Kluyveromyces lactis: one gene and its partner. The protein of the gene in region 2 interacts with the protein of the main gene of each other region in a pairwise test. Links are inferred from orthologs where the notes say so. Each region holds a gene or a part of one and is shown on either strand. Other genes may lie near its edges. The genes, in order: STE6 and SSM4.

Region 1 (7,323 bases), on a different chromosome or scaffold from region 2:
TTGTCCAATACAAGGTATTTAAAGAATAGAAATAGGGTCGTTGCTACAATGAACAGTGTTAGCTTGTTCGTGCTTTTTAAATTACGCACTACCATAGTATATCAATATTCCTTATTGAGTATGAATCAGCTATTGTTCCCCTGTACCATAAGCAACAGAGTCTGTCTCTTGACATACAACATTTGTATCCTTTAAAAGGCAGAAGTTTGCTGTAGATTTTAAGGTTGCAAAGATTTGCTAAAGCTTTATTTATAAAAGACAAGAAGCTCATATTGACTGGAAAACATAATGTAAATAGGGATTCATTTAGATAGTATAAACCAGGTATCATTGGAATCGGTAGTGTCTTGAGTAATCTTGGGTTCGGTGATACCGAATTTAGCAAAAGTCTTTAATAAGTAACGAAGCTTTCCATGATTAGTCTTGTGTTTGCTAGCAGCAGCTATCTTCATCAAGTTATCATAAGTGAAATCCTCATACATAGTAGAGAATTCCTGTAAAAGAGGCTTCAATTCTTTCAATGGGATTAGAGATGACTTTTGAGATACCTTAACTCCTACAACTGAAGGTGTATAATGACGCTTCTCTGCTATTGACATTATCTTTGAAATAACAGAGGGTTGCTGTACCTGCAGAAACTGGGACAGGAGTAAGGAATCATTGGTATTTTCCGGTAATATGGCGTCCTTAAAACAATTGTTGAATACCGATTGGTTAAAACTACCCGTATATATCACATTGCTTGTCCTGTAATTCCTCCGTAACGTATGGTACAATCTGGAGACATCACTTTCGTCTAATGAACCATCAGCCGATTTCCCACAATACTGAAACAAAACGAAACAATTATACATCGTTAAATTCCGAGTGTATATCATTCTTGAAAGACCATTCCAGATGCTATCTAGTTCTTCCTGTGCTTTATGTGTATCCGATGATTCATGATCAACTTCATGATGAGTATGTACAGCAGGCCGTTTCCTTGCCACAGAAAGCGACTGTAATCTGAAAGTGTTGTATCTTCGTATACCAAGTATCCCTTGACGCAACATGGTAAAATCTGGGGTCAGCAGGCCTCAATATGGTGTTTTTTCTATTATTATGCGGATAAGATTATTGTTGGTTTGAACATTTGGATATCCAATTGTTATGAGAAGCTTCAGTGTAATTATCAAATAACATTAGTCATTTTGAGTATTATCCATAACACGTCCGTTAAATGTTCAATAGAAGGTCATGGTAAGTAGAATACTTACCGTGGGCAGGGTTGATATTAAACAGTAGGCATCAATAGGAAGTGATGAAATTGCATCACGTGTACAGGAGCACGCAAACATTAGTGTCTATGGTCGTCAAACTCACTTCAGATGCTTGAAAATTGTTTCCAGCCCCTTTGGCCAAGTGGTAAGGCATCGCACTCGTAATGCGGGGATCGTGGGTTCAATTCCCACAGGGGGCAAAGAAAACCTTTTTTTTTGGTCCTTTCCCTGTGGAAACCAAGGTATGAATATATCCAGCTAAACTCGGTTTAACTGCTCAAGATAATCCACTAGCAACTCCTGGTGTCTCGCTCTTTAATATTGATCGTTTCCTTTCATTCAATACAGATAGAACTATTTAAATTGATAGGTAGTGATAAGTAATGCCAATATTTACACAGACATAAGACATACAATGAACACCCGAACCCGACGTAAGAATGTGGAATTGGCTTTGTAACATTTACTCTGTTCAATTGCCCTTCTTGTTAGCATCTTCAGCTGCACGCTTGGCATAAATCTTGGCAGTGAATGGCTCTTCGAATCTTAATGCGATGTTGTACATCACGTGAACAACCAAAGTGGCAATCAAACCAGCAGGTTTACCGTTGTACAATGCGTAACCAAGGAAAGTGAAAGTAGAACCTTGGTACATTGGATTATCGAAATAGTTGAATGGGAAGCTGGTCACACGGTGGTCCATTAGAATACCGAAATAATCACCTAGATAAGTACCGGTGATCCCCAACTGGTACATAGAGCTTAAAACCAGCAATTGACCAAATGCGATATATGCGATACCGACATAGGTAAATTTGTCACCAGTCATCATGGCACTGACTGGTTGTTGGCGCAATGCAGATTCATAGAAATAGTCTCTGATGATACCCAAGGAGAAAATTGTAGCTGCTAGGAAATAACATCCTCTCTTAGCGGAACCAGCGATCTTAGTCAAGAAATGGGTGCTGTGTTCCAATCTGGCAACGACGTTCCAGAAGATTGGGTTGAACGCAATCAAACCTAGAGCGATTGTATACTCTCTAGATTCGAAATTGGTTAGTGTGACGATTTCATCACAGAATCTCTTGAAAAGAGAAAACTGATTGGTAATATAAGTTTCGATATCCATTTCTTCTCGATAGTTCCTAGCTACTGTGACAATCAAATGTAAACCAATTGATTCAACCTTTTAAGTGACAATAGCTGTAAAATGTTGCGAAACTGAACAGCAGAATGTCCCATCTTTCTTTGTTCTTCCTTCTTTTATATTCCCTTTTACTAATTGCATGTGAAATCCAATCCTTTAAATGTCTGGTAAACCGCAATTTTCAAGTAAACAAACTAACAAACAAAACAAACAAACAAACAAAACAACCGCTGAAGGGCTAAGAATACTGCAAGCAAGGTGTGATAGACTAGGATGTGTGGACTTAAAGCTGGTATTTTTGATGGTAAAATGAAGTACTGATGGACTCTTGTTTTTGTTCTGGCTTCGAAGCTTTAAGTTTGATTCTAGTGCTTATAATGGTGTCTATCAATGTGTCAAAGTAGACAAAAAGGGTGATAGGTTTTATGATCTATATATGGATACTTCATTGGAAACGGTGCTTGCATTTAAAAGGCTGCTTTCAGGTTGTAGAGAATTGGATATTGGAACGGTTAAAGTTGCGGTATGCTGAGAGAAAGGAGAAGGACGCTTCTTTGCGCCTATGTGATTGCCTATTATGGTAATTACTATGGAAGTTACATCAAACAACTGAATAACACAATTTCATTGATGAGGCTTCAATATCACATTGGGCTATTTGACGCAATTGAGGTTTTGGCCCATTGGTATAAATGAAGATCGTTAGATATTGGATTTTTAGTTACTCGATGCCTTCTATTCATGCGTTCAGTGATATTAAAAAGAGTTAGAAACTAAAAGTTTAATAACGACAAAAGGCCACTTATGTTAGACATCTATCAGAATTTTAGGTTCAAGAATGATTGTTTCGTTTTGATTGTCACTGCAGTTTCAACGGTCGCTAATGGTTTAGTTCCAGTTGTGATATCGATTTTAACTGGGAGAGTATTTAACCTGTTACAATCTCTCGGAACTGATACTTACAAAACGAAATCTGAATTTGTTCACGAACTTACGGTAAGGTCATTCTCAATTGCAGCTGTGGCAGCTTGTGTGATTCCAATATCATGGGTCTCCTTATCGACCTGGATGACTTTAGGAGAACGACAGGGTTTCAGAATTAGAAACTCTCTCATCATGTTTTACTTCGAGAAAGATCTAAAATGGTACGATTCGAATGAAAACCTGGAAGGAGATTTCATCCAGATTAACAGATGCATAGAAGAAGTTAGGGCAAGTTCTGCCGAAGCTTCAGCAATTTTCTTTCAAAATGTCATCTCAATTATCGCTCTAATCGCTACTTCAATGTACTATTCGTGGTCTTTAACATTGATAATTTTATGCAGTTTACCACTACTGGCAACTCTAGCCGTTTTCCTCTCTATGAAAGTGGAGAAATTCTCAAAACTTGAGAACTTGGAATCTTCAAAGGCCTCGTCAGTTTTGGCATGGTCTCTTGATGCATTTCAAATGATACGGCTATTCAACACGTCTTACTGGGAGCAGAAGAAGTTCGAGACGCTAGTATCCAAATGTAACAAACACTTTGTCAAATCTTGCTTATACTCAGCTTTGAATGCATCGAGTTTAAGGTTTCTAACACTATGCATGTTTGTGCAAGGTTTTTGGTTTGGTAATACACAAATCAAACGTGGGAAGATGAAAGCTGGGGATGTAATTACATGTTTTTCCTCTTGTTTATTGTTGGGGTCTTCCTTATCAAGTACGTTGCAGCAGATCGTTACAATTCAAAAGGGTAAGGCAGCAATACAACGTATCAACCAGTTCCTTGTTCCCAATTCTAAGTCCGCCGTTGGTGAATGGGAAAAACGAAGTTCTCTCATATCAACATCTTCTTCAATAGGGTTAGCACCCATCTTTTGTGACGGTGATATTGAATTTAGGGACGTATCATTTGCGTATCCTACTAGACCAGATGATTATGTACTAAAAAATGTTTCCATAAAGATTAAATCTGGAGCTACATGCTTCATTGTTGGGAAGTCAGGGTCAGGGAAATCGACGTTAGCCAGTCTTTTACTGAAAATGTATGGCGAATACACCGGTGAGATCAAGTTCGGTGAATACGAAATAGACTCACTTGATGACTCCTGGTTAGTAGAGAACATTACATTAGTGGAACAAAGGTGCACATTGTTCAATGGGACATTAAAAGATAACTTGACGATTGTCAATAAATACGCATCATGTACCGAGGTAAAGCAAGCATGTCAATTTGCTTTACTAAACACTGTCCTGTTAAATCTGCCGAATGGTATTGATACACTTTTGGGCAGACACGGTGTGACATTGAGTGGGGGTCAGCAACAAAGAGTAGCTCTAGCCAGGGCATACCTGAGAAATACTCCAGTACTGATTCTGGATGAATCTTTGTCAGCCTTGGACATAATGTCTAGAGAGTTAATAGTGGAAGCTATCAGACATTGGCGAAAAGGGAAAACTACTATAATCCTAACTCATGAATACACTCAGATCAAAGATGATGAATATGTATATTTGATGAGCGAAGGAACGGTGGTCGAAAGTGGATTCAAATATGATCTTCTAGAAAACCCAGATTCGTACTTTGCACAATTAAACAGTCTACAGGAGACAAGATATGAAGTACCAGTAAGTCCAGATGTAGAACTACCTTATTCTCCTGATAGTGCTACCTATAATCATCAACCAATATCAAGATTTTCACGGTTTTTCTTCGACGCGAGTGCGCTTGAACCGCATCTTCCCAACACATCAAAATCAACAGATCAGTTAGATAACAAACGCGTTGTGTCCAGAGTTCAACCCTTAGACATAGAGAAAGCCTTACAAGAAAGAGAATGCGATTTAGAAGAACAAGGCATACCAAAAATCTTGACGCTTTCTGCTATTATGAAGAAAATGAATAATTCAATACCGAAGAGGCGGTATTTGGTACTGGGATTGCTATTCTCTGTTATTGCTGGTATGTCTAATCCACTTTTCTCCTATACATTCTCCAAGTTGTTGACAGGAATTGCACCACAAGATACAGGCACCAGTTCCTCATATTATCTGATGAAGTGGTCACTAATTGTGATCAGCATATCAGCTGTAGACGGTATATCAACATTTTTGAAAGACTTTATACTTGGATATTGTAGTGAAGTCTGGATTGAGCGGTTGCGAGTCGACGCAATGGCAAAAATATCATCTAAATCTCTAGACTGGTTTAAATTACCTACGAATAACTCATCTGAACTCAATTCCCTCATGATGAATGATCTTCGAGATCTAAGAGGCCTTGCCTCTGAATTTTTGAGTGCTATTACTACACTGGTTTTTGTAGCATCTATTGGTTTGATCTGGGCCTTAGTCTCTGGGTGGAAACTCAGTCTTGTATGCATCTCGCTATTTCCAGCCTTTATTTTATTCTCCGGTATTTATGGTTCATTGCTTCAAGTCTACGAGACTGCCTATAAGACAGAAATCGCAGAGCTTGAGACAAGGGTTCATGAACTTGTCATATCCATGAAAACTATCAAACTCCTTCAACTACAGCAACATTTTGAGGGCTCCTTCAAAACTCAACTGGCGAAAGTTAGAATAGTATGCAAGAAAAGATCAGTTGCTGTCGGATTTGGGATAGCTGTTACAAATGCATTAGCTATGGTTGTCCAAGCTATTTTATTCTTTTTCGGAATAAAATTAGTAATTCAAGGTGAGTATTCTGTAGCACAAATGTTCGAAACGTTTACGTTACTTCTTTTCTCCATTATGACTTGTGTTTCTTTGATCAACCAAGTTCCTGAAATTAGCAGAGGACAAAGGGCTGCTACATACATATTTAAGGTTCTAGAAGATTCTGGCTCTGTTGATACATCAAAACCTGATCCCTCACAGAACCAAAGCTTCTTTAGCACAGCGGGCAACAGAGAGACGATTAAGATATCTAATCTATCTTTTGCCTTCTCAAGCGCACCGATGAATAAAATATTCAACTCGTTAAGTTGCGAGATCTGTCTTAATGAAACTGTCGGGATTGTTGGCGAATCTGGTTCTGGAAAGTCTACCCTATCATTATTGCTAACAAGACTCTACCCTGTACCTAGTGGGAAAGTTTATATTGGTGGTATTGATATCAATAAATGGGATGAGTATGCTTTAAGAAGAACCATTTCAATTGTGGAACAGAAGCCAAAATTCTTTGATGGTACAGTAAGAGAAAACCTGGTATATGGTCTCAAACGTAACGTTTCAAACTCTGAATTAAGATCAGTTTTAAAGTCAGTTGATTTACTATCATTTGTACAAACCCTACCGAATGACTTGAATACGCGCGTTCATGATGGGTTAATGTCCGGAGGTCAAGCCCAACGATTATCTATCGCCCGCACGTTGTTACGCCAGCCGAAAATCATCATACTAGATGAATGCACATCTGCACTGGATGCAGCTAATTCATTTGCAATTGCAGAGCTCATCAGGACTGTTCTGAAGAATGTTACGGTGATTGTTATTACTCATTCAGAGCAATTGATGCAAATTTGCGATAGGGTTCTTGTTTTGAAAAAAGGGAAAGTTAAAGAAGAGGGATCCTATGCAGAGCTCTTCGAATCTAGAGGCGAACTATACCGGATAGTTTCGTGCACTAGATATTAACAGAGGATTTTAAATAACGATTGATTCACATGTATGATTTCTTCTAAGTAAGTTTATATCATTAAGCCTAGCATCATAGAGATAGAATTACGAATTTACATCTGGTATCAGACAAAATTAGAATCATTACAAATGGACGGTGACATATGGAACCTCCACGTCTTCACCTTCCTTATCTTCACAACAGAATTCCAAAATCATGGTCTTAACGTGACTGAGGATTTCCTTCTTCGTGACTAATTTTACAACCTCAGTTATTGGAAGATCCATTCTATCCTTTAGTTTTTTTGGAGGGAA
Region 2 (7,257 bases):
GTCGTAGTTCCAGTGAATATGAATTATCATTGGTTCGGATGCATAATTGTAAATTTGGACAAGTTGAAGGTAGCCATAGAAGAGCAGTTAACCAAAAAGCTTACATCAAAAGGAGGTAATCTTAAATCACCTTCGCTCTCAAAAACTGAGGATGACCGAAACTCAAATATAGCAAGTGCTCCTACGAATGTCACTGCAGATAATATCGAGTTACCTACTGTATTCCTTTTAGTCTTTGATTCTCTACGACAAACGCATTCAAGATTAATGGACGCTGTGAAAGAATTTATTATTTCATACGGCAGAGACGTTCATAATTACGATATTCAAAGAGAAAAGCTCAAAGTAAGAACATGCCTTGTACCACAGCAACCCAATATGAGTGATTGTGGTGTCCATGTGATATTAAATACTAAGAAATTTTTTGAAAAACCGAAAGAAACGCTCGATTTGTGGTTTGCAAAGTCGTCCTACAACCACTCTAAACTGGTAAACGAATTCTTTGAAAAGAAAGAACGCCGTTTTGCAAGGAAAACCTTAAGAGATGTCTTATTACTTCTCCAAAAGCAACAAATAGCCGCCCATGGGATATCATTGGGCCAAGAAAAGAATGAAAGCATAGAAGAGAATCATAGTGATTTGGAGATTATAGAAGATTTTGAGGCAAAAGAGATGGAAACCGACACTATGGAAGAAACAGGAGAGACCAATCATCCACCTAATCATAATAATATGCAATGCACTCCAATCGAGGCAAATCTGAATAGCAAAGCAAAAGCGCCTACACCAAATGTCGAGACTTCCATGTACTTCTTGAAATCCACACCATCAATCGAAAGATGTACTCCAAACAATGATAATAAGCATGAGGACCAACTGATTATAGTTCCAGAATCATCCCAAAATAGTGTTGCAAATAAAGATATTAATCTCGGAAATAAATCTGAAAGAGATTTTTATCAGTCTGCGCTTTTAAGTGATGATGACCATCGAAATGAATCAGATTCATGTGCCGATATGATTTCAAGTCAACCACCAGATAGGGCAAACTTTAGGGATCGATGTCCTACGGCGGAATTGGATGACATTGAAGATTCAACTTCTGATAATGAAAAGTCCAAGGTTTATGACATTTCTTGTTCACAACAGAGATGTAATGTGCCAGTTTCACCTGGGAAGCTGTTGAATGAGAAGCTGAAAACTTTGAGTACCAACACTGCGGTTACAAGTGATGCTAAATATTCGAATTGTAGGAAATATCAGACCGTTTCTTCGTTGATCAGACAGTCACGTGCAATTGTGGATAAAACGAGAGATTCTGACTCTAGAATTACACGCTCTGATGATGAAAATGAATGTGGCGGAAAATCTACTGACTCTATAAGGAAACAACTCTCCAATGAACTGCGAGAATCAAATACCGTGAGTTTGGGTAAATCATCGTCATCTGACGGTGGCAAACTACATCAACCTAACAGCTGTAGTCCTTCTAAAAGCTCCTCTCTTCCGTCAGAGGATTTGGTTGAAGAAATTGTGGAAGTACAACCTATTCTTGAGAAAGTTCATTCCAACAGAAAGGATAACAAAAGGAAAATTGTCCATCTCTTCAGCAATAAAGAAAATAAATCTTACGGCAAAAATCCCAAAATACCCAAAGCCAGCTTTTTCGATCAATTTGCATCTAAATAGCTACATATCCTGTTTTCCATCATTTTACTTCCCAGTCGTAAGTAATAAATTTTAATGGTAAGACTAGATAAAATAATTCATTGAATAAAAAAATTTCGCTAATAAATCTATAAAGACATCTTGACTGATCAAACTATTCTTCAAAGTTTTTTAGTATCCTTCCTCTTGCATACACTTCGTCTCTCACACTTTGAGATAAAGAATTGTAAAGCGACTTGGATAAAATTGAGCTCACAGTTAGGAACGCCGAGGAAATCGTCACTACATCAACGTAGTAGAATGCCTTTTGAAATGTAGTCATAAGGGAATGATCTGCCGAGACAGAAGGCTGTATGAAAATGAAATAAACAAATGGTGCCCATGAAGAGGTGTAAACTTGTTTGTGGGTAAGGAATTCAAACATAGAAAAACTATATTGCAGAGCAAAAGGTACCGCAATCATTGCAACGAGGTACACAAAGCATATATCCGTGACCCTAATGAGTAATCTTCTGAATCCTAATGTTTTATTCCGCTTCAAACTGCACTGTACCGCGATGTACGCCACTGCTGCTACTTGACAAAACAATAGAGCAGCTATTAATGAGTAAGCTGAATAGCCGCTGTATTCTGATTTTGATGCGAGGTTCGAAAGGAATGGAACAAACGATATATCAGGGCTTGTGTTTTCGAGAACGTCGCCTTTCCAGTAGAAATCTTTGAAGTAGGTGAATATGAAGACCGAATGATAATTGATATTCAACTTGAAAATGATTGGCATAAAGTAGAATGTAAAGACTGGATACACCATTGTTACAAAGCCTTTGATCAAGTTCCAAACATCACCTTCAGCAATTTCCGGTACTCTAAATTCATTGGCTACTGGATTTTCATCATTTTCGGGAATATTATCATCATTGTGAACTATATGCTGATGATTATCGTCGTTTGGACCGTTATTTGGAACATCCCCATTGTGTTCGGCATTAACCTCCAATATTCTGTCATTTAGATGGATATTATTTAATAGATGTGCGTGGTAGGATGACAAAGCGAGAGACAAAAGTATCATACCAGAAGAAACGGAAAGAAGATTTAATGGTTTTACACTTTCATAGAGTTCATTTTGAAATTTCATTGCTGGGGGGATAACCGCATTCAACAATAATTGCAATCCAGTGATAATGGGAAGCCCAGCAAAATTTGAGATTAATAACACAGCAGTAAACAAAAGGGAAGCAAAGATCCATATGAAGACAATTAACAGCGAATAAGTGAAAGTAAAATGCGGAGGGACATAAACTACCTTATATTCATCAAATTCCGTGGGCTGTTTTTCTAGGTAGCCAAATTCTCCGGCATTTCGTTTCTGTCTTTCTTTGATTTTTTCGATATCCAATGGCTTTAGAAGTTTGTCATCCTTAGTAACTGGGACGAACAACAATTGTGCATATTTTTTTGATATTATGTCGCTCGCAGGTACGCGCATCATGGTGCCATCGGGGACAAAATATGCGTGAACATCAGGAATAGTTTTGAAAAGAGTATAGGTTTCATCGAGCGATTTTGGATGAGAGTATAATTCTAGGTTGGACAGTTTTGCCTTGTTTGGGACGAACCATTTATAGTAAAAGTTCCTATAAATAACATGTCCTCTCTCAGTTGGTGAATCTTTTCCTAAGATGAAAGAGGAAAGTCTTAGTTTTCTGCAGCATATATTGAATACAAAGACCCAATATTGTCTAACATAAGCATCAATAACTCTATTCTTCGAGAGAATGAGATACGTTCCAGCAATGACTGCAATAGAAAACATAGAATTTGGTTTTATGAGAGTTGACAATCCATGCTTCATAGGTAAAAGTTCCGAATGTAAAATGTAAGGAAACAAAAGTCTCGTATGAAATCCAAAACCTACTAAAATGAATGCTGTATAGATTGCCATCGACAATGCAAGTCTGGAGAGTTGAAGTTTCATTGGGTATATCAAAGAATCCTGTAATAGCTTAATATTAGGATCATCTGGTGATCTTATGAAGAAAAGAACACCCGGTCTGATAATATATTGTCTTACCATGCCGACATATTGAGCAAAATGATACATATAAACAGTACCAATCGCCCAATAAATAATAAATGTCATAGGCGGCCAAAAGGAACAAAAACTCGGTACGAAAGTCAAGCTGCTCTGTGGTAATAATAGCGGTGAGATCAGTGACACATCAATCAAAAACCCCGCTAAAATCGGAAATCCGGCAAGTTCAAGTGTAAACAACCCTAGCACTTTCAATGTGCACTTGATGATATAGGAAAACTTGAAAATCGTTCTTTTCAAAGAATTCTTTAGAGGTAGCTTCTTGGAATGCCCTCTAGATAACAGTTCTGGTATACAGCAACAAAGAACTATGAAAGTCGCATATGTACTGGCTGGCGCCAACATTCGTACCAGCATCGTATGTTTTGCTGTGCCTTTCATGTATCCCTGATAGTACGATACTATTGGCATTAAAACTGTCCCATTAATCCAATTTTCAACGTAGGATACCAAAGAAAAAGTTTCTATAAGCTTTTGATTGTATTCTGGGATATTTAACCTCTCTGCTGACACTATTACTCCATTCAGCATTATAATCACAACTCTAAAATAAATGAAATTCAACAGATATCCGACAAGTGTGGCTAAAGCGTATGAAATGAAAAGATATCCACCAATGACAGAAAAGACTAAGGAAAAGTAGCTCGGTAAATATTTGTAATCAAGATTTAAATTCAAGATAGCCGTAGGTTGACCATCTTCATTCTCTAGTACAACCGCTGGTTGAGCATTTATTCCATCTTCTTGTACTTCTCCTTCAACAGGCTGAGGTCGTCCGAGTTGAGCATCCAACCGCCCATCGAGTTCTCTTTGTGCAAAGTGTCTTTCCATAATGGATTGTGAATTAAAAGTACAGTCGATTAATAACTCAGCTAATTGGTAATGATATGAATATGTTGCAGAAGAAATATGATATTGTGATCAGAAGAAAAGAGTAATGCAGGGATCTAATGCGGAAAACTCAAGTTGAAGATTCAGTTTCTATGATATAATTATTCAACTTCAACAGCTATACAATTGTAGCAAAGATTAAATATTGTTAACCTGTTGTACTTAGTTGTGAAACGAGATCAGTCGACGATGTATATACTGATTGTCTGCGCCCATGTTGAAATTTCCTTCTTCAAATTTCAATTTCCATTATAAGCCGGGTAATACCAAATTCATCTTTGAGAATCTAATGGGCTAGCATGTTTTACTAAAGCAAGTGAATGATTTGATGGGACAACGAGGGAATTATATTGTATATAGAAGTTTATTTCGAACTGGAGTGAAGGCTGATGCAATGTTTCAATATGAAGATTATCAATATCGTAAATATTTAAATGGGGGATTATAGTTAGTTGGCAAGCTGAGGCTCATCATTATTTTCGTTTACGATGAAATTGTTCTGTTCTTGTTCGTCTTCTGAAGTATCATCTTCATTTGGATCGTCTTGTCGTTGTCTATTGAGGGCATTTATGAGCATGCTTATATCATTTGGATCCATATTTGGAAATCTTTCTCTTAATGACTGCATGGCCAGCTCTTGTTTTGAAAATCTTGGTCCAATCTTATGCAAGATCATCTTATTGAAAATTGGCTCTCTGACTACCATATCATATTGTAAATATGCGATAGCATGCACGATCAAAACCATCAGAATTTGTAACAACGAAAATCTGTAATTTATCACTAGTTGATATAAAATATCCGTAGTTGTTGGATTTTTTGGTATGTTTCTTTCAAAGCCATAAATCAAATTGATATACCATTTGTTATTTGAAGGAAATGAAAAATCATCCACAGTAGCCGTATATAGCTTCCCCCAGATATTCCAGGACAGGGGAATTCCAATGAAGAAAAGGAACGCAATCAATGTGAATTTGAAATAGTGATTTAATTTGCCAAAGATTTTGAAAACGCTATGTTTCAGAAGAAGTAGAAGTGGGATCTTCTCTGGCATTGATTCATCATACAAAGTTTGGAACGCGATTGGATGATTACAAATCGAACATACCATCCCTGCACCAGGTTTTGTAACATCGACATGTTTTGACTGTAGCCATTCGATCAAACATAATTGATGAATATATTTGATGGAGCCTTTGCACTTGCATGGATGGAACAACGGATTATCGGACGTTCCTTCCAGCATACAAATACGGCAAGTTGGAAAATTCCCCGCATGCTTATCTTCGTAGTTGTGGTCTCCACCATTCATACTGGATGACATTTTTTATCAATTAGTAAACCGGTACTGCGAAGTTCAAATTTGAAACTTGGATAAAAAAATCTTGTGTCTAAGAGGTCGTACTATGGTTTCAACTGTGAAAAATCAAACCTGCAAAGAGATGATTGGGCTGGTTATTATATACAAGAGAAGCAGGCTACTCTGAGCTGTTTAAGTTTCTCTATGCCATAAGAATTGATCGTTATGCGTATAAGTTTTCAAATTTGAATTGCATTGAAATTGTCTGTAAATTACAGACATAAAAAAAAAGAAGTTTAAAAATCTAGGATTCATTCATAAAATAGACAAAAATGGAAAGCCCTGTGGGGGGCTCGAACCCCCAACCTTGTGATTAAGAGTCACACGCGCTACCGATTGCGCCAACAAGGCTATGTAAATTTGTAGATTCTGACTCGCCGTATGGTCAACTACATTGTCCAAGTGTGATCATATATGCTCATTCCTTCCTTCCTTCCTTCTTTAAGTGATTTGGTAAAATGTTGTATCGAGTAAGAGATCTTAGAGTTGCATGTGCGTCATATTGTGTTAGATACGTTCATTTGTAATAGTATGTGAAGGTTTTGCTTTTCCTTTCGCATCATATTTCATCAACCGAATTTAATAACACAAAAGCAGTCAAGTTTCTTAAGATGTCAATTTATATAGCATAACGTAGAATTATAACATAGAATCGGCATAAATACCAACCATTATGCTAAGGCGTGATCCTACAGTTTTATCCTTGACTTCCGATGATATTTCCGAGCTACAAGAACATTTAGAAGAGTACAAGCTCCAACGCGAGATACAGACGCAACATCAAGATCTTTTGAAATCATCTGCAAAAATGAGTAGATTAGCAGAGATAGAAGGCATTTCTAACCCAAGTGCGACACGGAATGATATTTTATCACACTCATTGCATAAGATGACGCCACCTCAGCGATATAAACAGTCTGCATCATCAGATCCTCGATTCATTGAACAAAATAGTACACAGAGTACACAGGATCCTCCAAATCCCTTTTACACGTACAATCACAATGATAACTGACGTCCTAATGTGATTGGTGAAGTGCCTATATTGGCTATCGGCCCTGTATCTACTCCCGTTAGTTATTATTGCAAAGTCATTATATTATGTAATTCCCCAGTACATATTATATATATGTATGCGTTTAAGTTACCAATCTTTATCAACTCACAAACTGCGATGAAGGTATTCTTTGAACAGTTTCCTCTTAGCATGGATGTCAACAAATGAAGGAAGGTAGTTTATTTC

The links.
Region 1: the proteins of SSM4 (region 2) and STE6 interact in binary tests that used the Saccharomyces cerevisiae proteins (3 or more experiments, as listed by UniProt). The link is inferred for Kluyveromyces lactis from reciprocal best matches to the Saccharomyces cerevisiae genes SSM4 and STE6.

What each region holds. Positions count from the first base shown.
Region 1 is NC_006038.1:1,245,444-1,252,766, forward strand, and holds STE6 (ATP-binding cassette a-factor transporter STE6), read left to right. Parts: upstream 1-3,210; coding exon 3,211-7,026; downstream 7,027-7,323. Other genes in the region: KLLA0_B14168g (glycoside hydrolase family 125 protein), read right to left, coding at 1-95; KLLA0_B14190g (uncharacterized protein), read right to left, coding at 303-1,052; OPI3 (bifunctional phosphatidyl-N-methylethanolamine N-methyltransferase/phosphatidyl-N-dimethylethanolamine N-methyltransferase), read right to left, coding at 1,732-2,388; E1 ubiquitin-activating protein UBA1, read right to left, coding at 7,153-7,323. UniProt on the Saccharomyces cerevisiae protein: STE6 is required in yeast MATA cells for production of A-factor pheromone. STE6 is involved in the transport of the farnesyl-derivation of the A-factor pheromone.
Region 2 is NC_006042.1:2,564,468-2,571,724, forward strand, and holds SSM4 (E3 ubiquitin-protein ligase SSM4), read right to left. Parts: upstream 4,595-7,257; coding exon 1,823-4,594; downstream 1-1,822. Other genes in the region: SUMO protease ULP2, read left to right, coding at 1-1,689; KLLA0_F27709g (uncharacterized protein), read right to left, coding at 5,103-5,978; anaphase promoting complex subunit CDC26, read left to right, coding at 6,688-7,029; EMC5 (Emc5p), read right to left, coding at 7,177-7,257. UniProt on the Saccharomyces cerevisiae protein: E3 ubiquitin-protein ligase which accepts ubiquitin specifically from endoplasmic reticulum-associated UBC6 and UBC7 E2 ligases, and transfers it to substrates promoting their degradation.